Linked DNA regions of Macaca fascicularis. The protein of the gene in region 3 interacts with the protein of the main gene of each other region in a pairwise test. Links are inferred from orthologs where the notes say so. Each region holds a gene or a part of one and is shown on either strand. Other genes may lie near its edges.

The links. The genes of interacting proteins can lie anywhere in the genome.
Region 1: the proteins of PPP3CA (region 3) and C20H16orf74 interact in binary tests that used the Homo sapiens proteins (3 or more experiments, as listed by UniProt). The two-hybrid records come from large-scale screens. The link is inferred for Macaca fascicularis from reciprocal best matches to the Homo sapiens genes PPP3CA and C16orf74.
Region 2: the proteins of PPP3CA (region 3) and AKAP5 interact in binary tests that used the Homo sapiens proteins (3 or more experiments, as listed by UniProt). The link is inferred for Macaca fascicularis from reciprocal best matches to the Homo sapiens genes PPP3CA and AKAP5.

Annotation. Positions count from the first base shown.
Region 1 is NC_088394.1:81,645,552-81,649,982, reverse strand, and holds the start of C20H16orf74 (uncharacterized protein C16orf74 homolog), read left to right. Parts: upstream 1-1,552; 5' UTR 1,553-1,761; intron 1,762-2,466; 5' UTR 2,467-2,574; intron 2,575-2,706; exon of another isoform or gene 2,707-2,762; intron 2,763-4,431.
Region 2 is NC_088381.1:132,280,795-132,284,952, forward strand, and holds the start of AKAP5 (A-kinase anchor protein 5), read left to right. Parts: upstream 1-1,279; 5' UTR 1,280-1,368; intron 1,369-4,158. UniProt on the Homo sapiens protein: Multivalent scaffold protein that anchors the cAMP-dependent protein kinase/PKA to cytoskeletal and/or organelle-associated proteins, targeting the signal carried by cAMP to specific intracellular effectors.
Region 3 is NC_088379.1:106,755,569-106,759,209, reverse strand, and holds part of PPP3CA (protein phosphatase 3 catalytic subunit alpha), read left to right. Parts: intron 1-1,625; coding exon 1,626-1,737; intron 1,738-2,832; coding exon 2,833-2,978; intron 2,979-3,641. UniProt on the Homo sapiens protein: Calcium-dependent, calmodulin-stimulated protein phosphatase which plays an essential role in the transduction of intracellular Ca(2+)-mediated signals. Many of the substrates contain a PxIxIT motif and/or a LxVP motif.

The sequences.
Region 1 (4,431 bases), on a different chromosome or scaffold from region 3:
GGGAAGGGCAGGAACTGGCAGTGCAGGGGAGATAGATATGAATCAAATCTGCACAATCACGAAAGGGAACCTGGCTCCAGGGCAGGCACAGCTGGGCTGGGAGGTGACTGACAGAGGGAGACACTGTGCCGTCGGGTCTCGGAGCCTTCATTCTTAGTTGCCTAGGCTTGTCCATCTCAGTTCCTCAGGAGCCTAGGTCTGGTCCCTGCCTCCCCACACCCAGCGAAGGGACGGCACACAGCCAGGCATGATGATTTGCCCACAGCCAGCTTGTTGAGCCCCCTCCCCATCCTGCCCTGAAGTCTCTGAGCTCTTCCTGGCTTTCTAGCCCCTCCCCAGGGATGTGCCCTCAGCAGACAGCCACCTGCACAGGCCTCCCCCAGCCCAGCAGTTGGGGCAACAGCTTTGATGGGCACGCCCACCACCCCAGCACCGGCCAGCAGCAGGTCCCATCCTGCCTCTGGAGGGTGGACGAGTGGAAGGAACGTCCTGCCCCTTCTCTTTGTTAGAGGCGGGGGAGTGGGGGACATGATACATTTCCTGCCTGTCGGTCTGGACTCTATAAGGTCAGGGGAATCTAAAGATCGCTCCATTTTTAGGAATGACTCAAGCAACAGCACACGGCTAGGACGATGACTCCATTTCCTGCAACTCTTTGCCACATTCACCAAAGGAATGTCACTTTCCTGCTCCGTGACTCAGTTTCCCCTTCTAAGCCTCCAGAAATATATAGGGCACGGGGTGTGGAGACCGTGGGCTTGTAGGGTGGAGAGGGTACCACAGGCTTGTAACAATGACATGGAAAGCACAGGGCAGGCATCTTTCTGTTCCTCCTGCCCCACTGGGCAGGTGTCTGCAGAGGCCTCCACACAGGTAGGGCTGATGGAGGGAGTGTGCCTCCTAAGAAGCCCATCTGGCCAAAAGACCTCTGTGTCCACACCGTGGGGAGCTGGGCGATTCCTCTCCCTGAAGCTTATCAAGGTCATCGCCAAACACCTGAAGCTTCCCGGGGGGTCAGAAGGCAAGCCCTGACCTCCTTGTAGGGTGCAACCCCAGGTTCACCCCGAAAGTGGGGTGCAAAGGCTTGCTTGGAGAGCAAAAGGGAACCCCCACAGCCGGAGCCACAGGGAAGGGGCACTGTATACCAGTGCCTGGGGTCCTGCACCAGAGGAGGGCGGCTGCAGACGGCGAGATGGGGCGGGGGAGCTTCTTGTCCTCGCCTCCCCTCTTCGCATCCGGGCAGCGAGGTTCACTGGAGCCGGGCCCTCCAGTATGGGAGGAACCCTGGTGCCTCTTTTCACCACCCAGGGCTGGGGTGCACGGCCGCAGGGAGCCCGGCACACAGCCCCGGAGAGGGGCGCACGGTGGGGAGCCCAAACTTGCCCCGGGACCTCCCAGGGCCTAGCGGGAGGAAACAGGCGAGCAGCGAGGGGTCGGGACCGCCGCCGAGGGCGCCGGGCGGGTCCTGGCACGCTCCCCAGGGAGACGGCGGGCGGGCCCGCTCCGCCCCGCGCCCGGCCCGTGCAATCCTGGCGCCCGCGGCCCGGCGGCTGCAGTCAGCGCCGCCCTCCAGGAGCGGGGCGGGACCGCGGGAGGCGCGCGGCGGCCCGAGCGCCGGCCGGGCCATGACCCCCGCTGCTCTCTCTTGCAGGCTCGTCGCCGCGGCCCCCCGAGCCAGACCGCCGCCGCCACCACCAGCGCCCGGGCGGGCCTCGCGCGCCCCGGGCGCGGCTCCGCAGTGAGCCCACCAGGAAGGAAGCGGTGAGTGCCCCGCGCCTCGTGCCCGCCGCCCCTTCTCCTGGACGCCCGGCTTCCTCGAGCAACGCGGCCCCTGCCGGGCGGCGTCCACGCCCCGCAAGCTCCAGCCGCTGCAGGGGCGCGGCTCGGGGGGCGGTGGGGGACCCACGCGGGCCCGGGCATCCCCCCAACTTCTTGTAGACTTTGCTGCGAAGACACAGGCTTTAGGAAACTTGGCCCGGCTCTGGCGGCGCTGTGCAACTTGCACCGGCGGTGGGGGTGTGTCCCCGCGCGGAAGCCTCTGGCCCCCACTCCCCACCGGCCACCCCGCACCGTCACGAGTTCCTTGGGAATGGACCAGAATGCCATTCCTGAGAGCTGGAAGGCAGCCCAGCGGGGGGCGGGGGCAGGAGGCCTCCCGAGGAACCATTTCCCCTCTATCGAGTATTTCCAAATCTATTATTTATGAACCGCCTCACTCAGGGGCCCCCCTGCGCTCCCAGGGCATCAAAGCATGTTTGCAACCGCAAAGGGCGACCCGTGTGGACGCACGCGCGCCTTCTCCTGGCTGGCTGCGGTCGGGCGGAACTGGGGGAGGCCTCAGTAAAAAGGGGCACCCGCAGCTCCCCCCAGGGGTAGGCGGAGGGCGGGGTCCGAGGGCAGCTGGGACTTCTCTCAGACCGCCTCTGGCTGCGGGGCCCAGATGGGATCAAGGGAAAATCTGTGCAGGCTGGACAGACTTTGGAGCCCGGAGGAAGAGGGAGGAAGGGAAGGCTGCGAGGCAAAGGCACTTCGGAGGTAGTGCAGGCCTCGGGGAACGAACGCCTCAATGTACAGGTGAGGAAACTGAGGCTCTGAGAGGCATACCCTGAGTCACAGGCTCCGGCGTTTCCTGCCTAGACCCCACCCACCCAACGCTGTGGGAAGTCCCCTGTCCTGGGCTGGGTTAACTCCAAAAAGCACCCTCACCTGTGCAGGCCACGCCCTCCTTGGGTTCTGCGCCCCCACCGCTGGGGACCGGGTCCTGCGGACGGGAGGAGGCCGTGTATTTATGGAAACACTTAATCCCTCTGCCAGCCCCAAGGAGGCTGAAAGCTCACCACCTAATCTCCTCTCCCTGGAAGCGCCTTCCCATGCCGGTGGGGTGCACCCCAGACCCACGTAGGGTGTATTTTCCCAGCCCAAGGTGTAGGTCACCTCTAGAGACTTGGGAGCGTCGCGTCAGTGGACACTGAAAAAGAGAGCAGTGATATTTCATGCTTACCGAGCACTCCTCGTGCACCAGACCCTGCGTTTTCTGTTTTAATCCCCTGACCAACTCTCCAACCAAATACTGTCAGCCCCGTTTTAAAGATGAGGAAGCAGGGCCAGGCACAGTGGCTCACGCCTGTAATTGCAGTACTTTGGGAGGCCAAAGCAGGAGGACTGCTTGAGGCCAGGAGTTTGAGACCAGCCTGGGCAACATAGTGAGACGCCCCCCACCCCCACCCCGCCCAGCTACACCAAATTTTTAAATTAGCTGGGTGTGGTGCATACCTGTAGTCCCAACTACTTAGGAGGCTGAGATAAGAGGATTCCTTAAGCCTAAGAAGTTGAGGCTACAGTGAGCTATGATCACACCACTGCATTCCAGCCTGGGCAACAGAGGGAGACCCTGTCTCTTAAAAAAAAAAAAAAAAAAAAAAAAAACCCAAAAAATTAAAAAATAAAAATGAGGAAACAGAAGTTTGTAAAGGCAAAGTGACTGACGCAAGGTCACATGGCTAGAAAATGGCAAGGCCAGGGCTGGAACCCTGAGCCATGGTACTGAATTGCTCTGACCTACAGTGGTAGCCAGGCTAGGCCTCTGGGCCTGCTGAGAATAATCCCCCATCATTAAAAAGATTAGTAAGTAATGATGGGGCCCAGGCACAGTGGCTCACACCTGTGATCCCAGTGTGCTGGGAGGATGAGGCAAGAGCATCACTTGAGGCCAGGAGTTTGAGACCAACCTGGGCAACATAGTGAGACTCCTTTCTCTAAAACAAAAAAACAAACAAACAAAATTAGTAAGAGGTTGTAAACCAAAAACAAAAAAAAACAAAAAACAAAAAAACAAAAAACACACACAAAACGAAAAACCTGAAGTCTCTCAATCATCTGAGTGGATCACTCCCCTTGGCTAAGGGCATTCCAAAGTTAACCTGAAAAGCTAGTTCAGGCCATGATGGGAAGTGGGGTCAGACATGCCTCATTATACTCTCTTCCTTTTTGAAATTCAGGCCCAGCTGACCAGCATTAACATCAGTGCAGACCTTCAGATTAATAGGAGAGTTCCTTTAAGTCTGATAAGAAACATGTACAATCTATTCTCTCTCAAGCCAAACCCCTTATGGTAACCCAGACATTCCTTTCTATTGGTTCCAGGTCTTTAGATAATAACTCTTTTGAGGTTTTTTTGTTGTTTTTTCAGATGGAGTCTTGCTCTGTTGCCCAGGCTGGAGTGCAGTGGCGTGATCTCGGCTCACTGCAACCTCTGCCTCCCAGGCTCAAGCGATTCTCCTGCCTCAGCCTCCTGAGTAGCTGGGATTACATGCGCATGCCACCATGCCTGGCTAATTTTTGTATTTTTAATAGATATGGGGTTTCACCCTGTTGGTCAGGCTGGCCTCAAACTCCTGACCTCATGATCCTCCCGCCTTAGCCTCCCAAAGT
Region 2 (4,158 bases), on a different chromosome or scaffold from region 3:
GATCGTGATCCTCTTGAAGAAAGGAGATGAACGCGGCTGCTTTTCAGTAGTTCTTCACTGCACCTTACCAGGTTCTTCATCTGGATGCTATGCTGTGAGGGCCTGAGGAGGAGGCTGGGATTGTGATGGATCCTACTGGATTTTACAGCTGGAGCTCCCAGGAATGCCCTCATAGGGAATGTCCTGAAGGGAATCATGGGTAACTTGTAAGCTACCTCAACTTATTTTTGGAACTATGTAAGATATAAGATGGATGGAGCTGGGTTGCCGTGCCTTTCTCGCCTTGTCCGCATAGAGATGCAGCTGCTCCTGCAGGCCAAAGTTCTGCACGAATCACCTCCACCTGCTTCCCACTGGGAGACAAAGGTCTGAGAGCCTGTTTAGCGATGAACCACGATGATCTTTTTTTTTTTTTTTTTTTTTTGAGACGGAGTCTCGCTCTGTCGCCCAGGCTGGAGTGCAGTGGCCGGATCTCAGCTCACTGCAAGCTCCGCCTCCCGGGTTTACGCCATTCTCCTGCCTCAGCCTCCCGAGTAGCTGGGACTACAGGCGCCCACCACCTCGCCCGGCTACTTTTTTTTTGTATTTTTTAGTAGAGACGGGGTTTCACCGTGTTAGCCAGGATGGTCTCAATCTCCTGACCTCGTGATCCGCCCGTCTCCGCCTCCCAAAGTGCTGGGATTACAGCCTTGAGCCACCGCGCCCGGCCTACGATGATCTTATACTCAAGTCACTCCTGAGAAAGTCGGGTTTCTTTCTGTTTCCATTTCTATATGTAATTTTCGCTTCAAACAAAAATGACCTCGCTATTCCATACACAGTTTTGAATCCTGCTTTTAAAATGCGATGTCTGCCTTGTCTTTAAATATTCTGAGGGGTAGGAGAGGACATGTGTAACAGGACTGTCTATAATTTGAAACTGGACCTCACCATTTAGCGTCTCAGAAACGCGGGGTTCATTGCCCTGGCCGCTCCCCGCCTTCCCTCCGCCCCCCACCCCTCCCCGAGCCTTCGGCTGGCTCTCGCGGTCCCCGCCTCGGCGATAATGTAGTCTGGCGGCGGAGATTGGCGCCCAGGCGGAGCACGGTGGCCTTCCCCGCGGCAGGCAGGCTGCTGCTGCAGGTGGGTCCCGGCTTCCGTGCCGCCCCCCGCCTCCCGCGTCGCCCCGCCCCTGCCCGCCCGCTCGGCTCCGCTCCGCTCGCATTGGCTCTGCGGGCTGTCTGTCCCCGCGCGGTGGGGAGGGGGCGCACCCGGCGGCGGGCTCTGCAGAGGGCGCCTTGCTTCGGCTCCCTGGAGGCCTGGGCGCCGGGCCCCGCGAGCGCGCCGCCACCTTGGGAGCAGTGTTGGCCAAGGACCCCGACGCCTTACGTGAGTAAAGGCAGGGCGGGGAGCCTGCTGGAGAGGAGGGTCGGGGGCAGTGTCCGGTCAGCGGACCGCGGAGTGGGCAAGAGGCGCCCACTGGACATGGGGGATGTGAGCCCCCTGAGGTGCTGGGAGTAAGAACGCGGGAGGTCGCTTGTCCGCAGGAATCCGCGGCCAGGACGACCCTCATCAGGTCTGCCCACCTATCACCTTCGCGTTACAGCTTGTCTTAGAAGCATGGGTTGCCGGTGGCTTTTTTCCTTCTTTATCCCTCTTTGCGAAATGTGATTCTGGGTTTCTGGCCATTACATTATAATTCTGCAGACAGCTTGAAGCTGGGTTATCTGTTCCACGCCCCCGGCATTTTCCTTTTTGAGTACTTTATCCTGCGCTCTGTCTCCTGCCATAAGGGGCGTCAAGCCAGAATTCGAGATTCCTTCCTCCAGGAGGAACCTTCGTGGTCCATATCTGGTGCTGGGAAAGATGCATTGCTTTCCTCGGGTAGTGGATGTTCTTTGCTGCTTAAGGGAAAAAGGAAAGGGAGTGTTTTCTGTGACATGAGACTTGAAATTCTATCAGGAAATGAGCACAGGGACTTTAAGATTTCCTGAGGCGATAAAGCTACCCTTGCTGGTTAAGAGCGAATCCTTTGCAGTCTGACATTCTGCAAAGTTTTAATGTCTACAGACTGCATTATTTTCCCCCTTCAGTTAAGTTTCTGTTTGGGCATTCGTTTTATTTCTAGTGTGTGAGACACATTCAAGTGAGCTTCTCAAACCATTGTCTTTGCGCAATCCACGTTAGTTTCAAATGATACACTCCTGAACATCTCATTTCAATATTTCTATTATGTGGTAATACAGCCTCTGCTTAACAAAAGTGCTCAGGTGTTGAAAACTCACAAGAGGTGAGAAGATTTAAACAGAGTTATCAGCTGAGGTTCTAGTGCTCACTGAAACATAAATGTGAGGAGAAACACTGTCAAATGTCCATATTTTAGTTCCGTCATTGTTCTAGAATGACTTTATCTTTCTGTTAGAGGCATACAGTATGAAACACCCAACCTAAGAGAATATTTACTTAGATCATAAACTGATTTTCAGGGTTCCAGTTCTTTCCACAGTTCATAAAATTATGGGTTACCCACATGAAACTTCAGTGAAGGATTTACATAAAAACAATATAAAGAATGAGTCCCTTTGCTTATTTTAGGGCATCCACCCACTAAAATTCATAGGATCTTTGTTAGATAATCACTTCCCATTTCCATTCTTTGGTGCCATCATACCATTCTGAGGATTAAATTTTCAATACACCTTTGTATTATCTAACAGTTTGCCAATTGCATAGTTTATCAACCTATTTTTGGCTGTTAAATTAGTTCCTGAACCGAAAAAGCAAAATATAAAGAATTTCTTTTTTTTTTTTTTTTTGAGACTGAGTCTGGCTCTGTCGCCCAGGCTGGAGTGCAGTGGCCGGATCTCAGCTCACTGCAAGCTCCGCCTCCCGGGTTTACGCCATTCTCCTGCCTCAGCCTCCGGAGTAGCTGGGACCACAGGCGCCTGCCACCTCGCCCGGCTAGTTTTTTGTATTTTTTAGTAGAGACGGGGTTTCACCGTGTTAGCCAGGATGGTCTCGATCTCCTGACCTTGTGATCCGCCCGTCTCAGCCTCCCAAAGTGCTGGGATTACAGGCTTGAGCCACCGTGCCCGGCTTAAAGAATTTCAAAAGCTTGGTTTTCAAATAACAAGAACTCAGACTACTCTTGGTTCAATTATGAGTTGATAAGTACCTTGTGATTAAATGACCATTAATCAATTTTTAAATTTTTTTACTAATGAATATACTGCAGATTAGTATCCCCAAACAATCCATTTTCTGATGAAACTCTTAAAGCCCAGTTTCAGAACATAAGCTTTAAGCAACAAGCAATCTTTTGTTTAATCTGAGCTCTGTTACAGCTCTGCCTTAATCTCAGCCAAATTGCTTCATCTGTAGATGGTGATACCACCATCTTTGTAATACTGTGGTGAGGATTACAGATGTATGTAAAAGTGTGTGCACCGCCTAATACCCAAGAATTGCTCAATAAATGTCAGCTATTGTTACTCTTACTGACCTCCAACTATGTGCAGATTATGGTGGAAACATGTGATACAGCAAATACAGTACTTAAATGAAAATGTCAAAATTATACAACTAATTTAAGAGTGGGAAATGACAGTAATGCTAAATTTTCCTAAGAATATGTATGAAAAGTAGCACTTCCTTGATGGAACATACATTTTTAGAACAGAAACCTTATGTTATAATGGAAAAACTAGAGAGTCAAAGTCTCTAGTTCTAACTCTGGCTATGACCTTATCTAGCTGCATGGCTTTTAACAAGACAATTGCTCCCCTCTGGAGTTCAGTTTTGTCATCTGGCTGGATTTGAGTAATCTCAAATAATCTCTAAAGTCCTTTGCAGCTTTAAAATTATTTATTGAGTGTGATAAAAAATACATTAGCTTGTTTTTCATCCTGCACTTCATTTTTTGTTCTTCCTGTTATTTGCTTAATTTGCACTTTAGAGCCATAAGCAATTCACACAGACAACACAACTAAAGAACTAATAATATCAGACTTGCAGGGTAATCCAAAATGAAGTTTCAACAAAGAGGATAAAACAATAGAATCACATTGAACTCTTTAATAGGGCCAAAGTAAACCCCAACGTTTATTCTCCAGTCATTTCATTATTATATGGAAAATATGCCTGGTAGAATCTTATACATTCAGCTGAAATAGTCTCCAT
Region 3 (3,641 bases):
TTGAAACACGTAGTACAGCTATAAAACCCAATCCGTAGCAGAGACTCATTAAGGTACCGGACTGCTCACTGAGGTAACAGGAAACTTTACATACATCAACAGATCATGATGCTTTAAGGATCGCTTGTACAGGCCATTTGGTCAACTTTTCAGACATATTAATATCATTAGTCATGTGAACTGTAGCTAATAACTATAATCAGAAAGTGGTAATTAGAAACTTAAAGTAACATATATAATTTAATGTCAACCTATTATTTTGTTTACTTCAATCATAATTACATAGAGATAATATCTTGCTTGAACAACAAAATACAAACATTTGTTCTGATAATTAGTATTTTCTCCAAAACTTGGGCTGTGTAGTCAAACATAATTAGTTTTCACTCATTTCATAAATTATCATATAAACTAAGAGAGATGATTACTCTTTACAAGTAGTACTACAAATAAATTGTCAGCAGCTTTTCCCTATAGATATTATCCAGGATATCTACTGTATTGGAAAGCCAATTATTAATGTATAAATCTCACTGATTTTAGTTTCAGATTTTAGTAACCAGAATTAGACTTGTCTCAATATTTTTGTAGTTTTTGTATCTTCTTAGCTTCACTTTGGGAATGCAGGTTTTATGAGGATAAAAGAGCATACTTGCTTTTCAAAGCATGGTTTTCTGTTGCCTATGGATTCTTAACAAATGTCAGTTGATGATAACAAATTACTGATGTTAATACTTGAGTATTTCAGTTGACTTAATGCTCATTCCAGGAAGACTGTGTCAAATGTAGATGTATTCCCAACTTGGTGAATGCATAATTGACCATCATTTTTACAGACTGCAATGCCCAAGTAACTAAGTTGAGAGTCTTAAGGTATATGAAGTGTATCCCATAGCTTTTGGCACAATATGATTAATGATTAATAAGTAAAATAAAGTGACTTCTCTTTATAAAGCTAATTATTTTTAAAAATCAGGTAACAGAAATGGAAGGATTGAAAAGATAAAGTACGACCAAATGAGGAGGCAAAGCACTGACAAGCTCAGCCTAACTTGAACTGCATCTCTATTTTCTATTACTTTTCCTCATCTCTAGCTCCCTGCCTCCTTCTCTCCCAACATCTTGTCTTTTCTGTCAGTGTCTTTGGTATATAAATCTTAAGTTTTTGATTTATGTATATATTTGATTAAACTGAAGGTGGTCAGGGAATCTCACTACATATACCAGTATTTCTTCTCATCCTTTTACACCAGCATATTTTTATTTCTAGTATATTTTAGTTAAGTTTCTTCCTCTTCCTTTTTTTTTTTTTTTTTTTTTTTTTTACTCCCGATCTCCTCAGGCCACATAATTCTCCTTCTGTTGACTATATGTAATCCATTGTTTTCTTGTGGTATATGATCTTCAGTGTGTGTATGTATGTTTTAGGTGTAGATGGACCTGGCTTTTTACCAAAGTAATGTTTCCTGTTTGATTGTCAGTATCTTCTCTACCAAGGTCCAGCCTTTTGGGGGACTTTTGGTCATGGTAATACATTTTATTCATGTCTTTATGATATGTGAGCAATGAAATACATAGGTATTAAGGAAAAATATTTATTTTCATATGATTTTTACTTTTCCCAGTGTGTGCTGTATTTGTGGGCCTTGAAAATTCTTTACCCCAAAACACTGTTTTTACTTCGTGGAAATCATGAATGTAGACATCTAACAGAGTATTTCACATTTAAACAAGAATGTAAGTATACTTCAGTCTCCTTTCTTTAACACTATATACGCTAAACAGTAATTTTAATCAGTACTAAGATACATACAATATAATCCATTGCCTAAAAGTCAAAAACTTAAAGTGACACTTTTTGATCTTATCCTATATTTCTTTCAAACCATGGACATTTATGAGAATTCAGAATTTCTTTTTAAATTAGAACTTCTTTATAAAGTGATTGAAAAATTTGAATTAAAATTTGATATAATTTATCCTAAGAAACAAATGATTTAGGGATACTACTGTTTGGAACACTAATTCTACCCATTAATCTCGCATTACTCAAGAAACGCAAATGGAGGGCAAATTCAACCTATGCCTCTGTTTTGGACCCAATAAATAAATACTAGCTTCTAGTGAATCTTATAAAACTGAAGATGATGTCATTCTTTAGACATAGACAGTAGGAGTGTGGAGTGCTTTTTTCAATTTCTTTTTCCCCCTTACAATTTTTCTTACTATTCGCTGAATCTTACAAAGGTATAAAATCTTACATTTTTGTTTTATATATAAATACAATTAAATGGAAGAGCAGGGAATCTCTCTATACATATCAATATTTTTCTCTTTCATTTAGTCCTATATTCAGTGGAGCATAAAGACTTATCCTCTTCAAACATTAGATGTAAGTCATGGGAAAAGCAATGTGCAGTGAGATAGAAGCAGCTTTAGAAAATGTCTTGCCATCTGCTTTTCTACAAAATCATTAAGGAATATCAAGCAGCTTTATGGCTGTTTTTCTATTGGTCTTCCAGTTGTTCAGTTACATTTTTTTGGTGAGACATCTGCATATAAATAGCCAGAATGTATATAAAAATTCTCTTGCTATACAAAAAGTTATGAAAATTATAAAATATGAATGAATGACAAAAACAGGAAATGCTAGATATAAAAGATTAATATGTTACTTTCAAAACATCTTAATTATATTTTGGAATTTTGCAGTATGTGCCTTTATGTTAATAATATGGTCCTGGCAAGAAAACTTCTTAAAAAACCGAAACTATTTAAGTGAAATTATCCTGCTTATAAATCATAAGTATTTTTTTTAATCACTTCTAAAAGGTAAAATAAAGTATTCAGAACGCGTATATGACGCCTGTATGGATGCCTTTGACTGCCTTCCCTTGGCTGCCCTGATGAACCAACAGTTCCTGTGTGTACATGGTGGCTTGTCTCCAGAGATTAACACCTTAGATGATATCAGAAAAGTAAGTTTTGTTATTTTCCCAGTCTAATCATTTTGTGCGCTACAGTAAAAAATAGAAGACATTAATTATCCTGTCTTTATCACTAACTTTTTCCTTTTGAGTTAAAATGATTTAAAGTGGTCATGAATCTCTCCTTTGTGTTAAATTTTTATCTAGAAAGGAAGATATATTTATACTTGGAAAAGTTTTTATCTCTTCAGCCTCAGAGTTGGTCTTACCATCTGACATGTGTCTCTGGAAATATAAAATATTTGACCTCTAAAAAAATATGCCTTATCATTTCCATTTGGCTTTTTTCAAACAAATCATTGTATAGTCATGATGTATTATGCTAGAAATGTTGCTTTGCCCTTGGGAAAATATTGTAACATAACCGTTAAACTATGTTCATTTTATGGTTTTTTAAAAATCTAGTATTTGTTACAACTTGAAACTTTTAAGTAGCAATCTAACAAGGACAATGATAATATTCTATTAATTTTATTGAGTGGATAGGTGAAAAACTGTACTTTTTAAGAAGTATTTGTAGGAAGTTTTTAAGAAGTACTCCAGTTTCGCATTGGCTATTAACAGTTTTTTAAATCAGCAAAAAGATGAGTTACATTGAATGTGGAAGTGGATTATGTCTCTTTCTTAAATAAATCTAATAACATGGGATAGTTT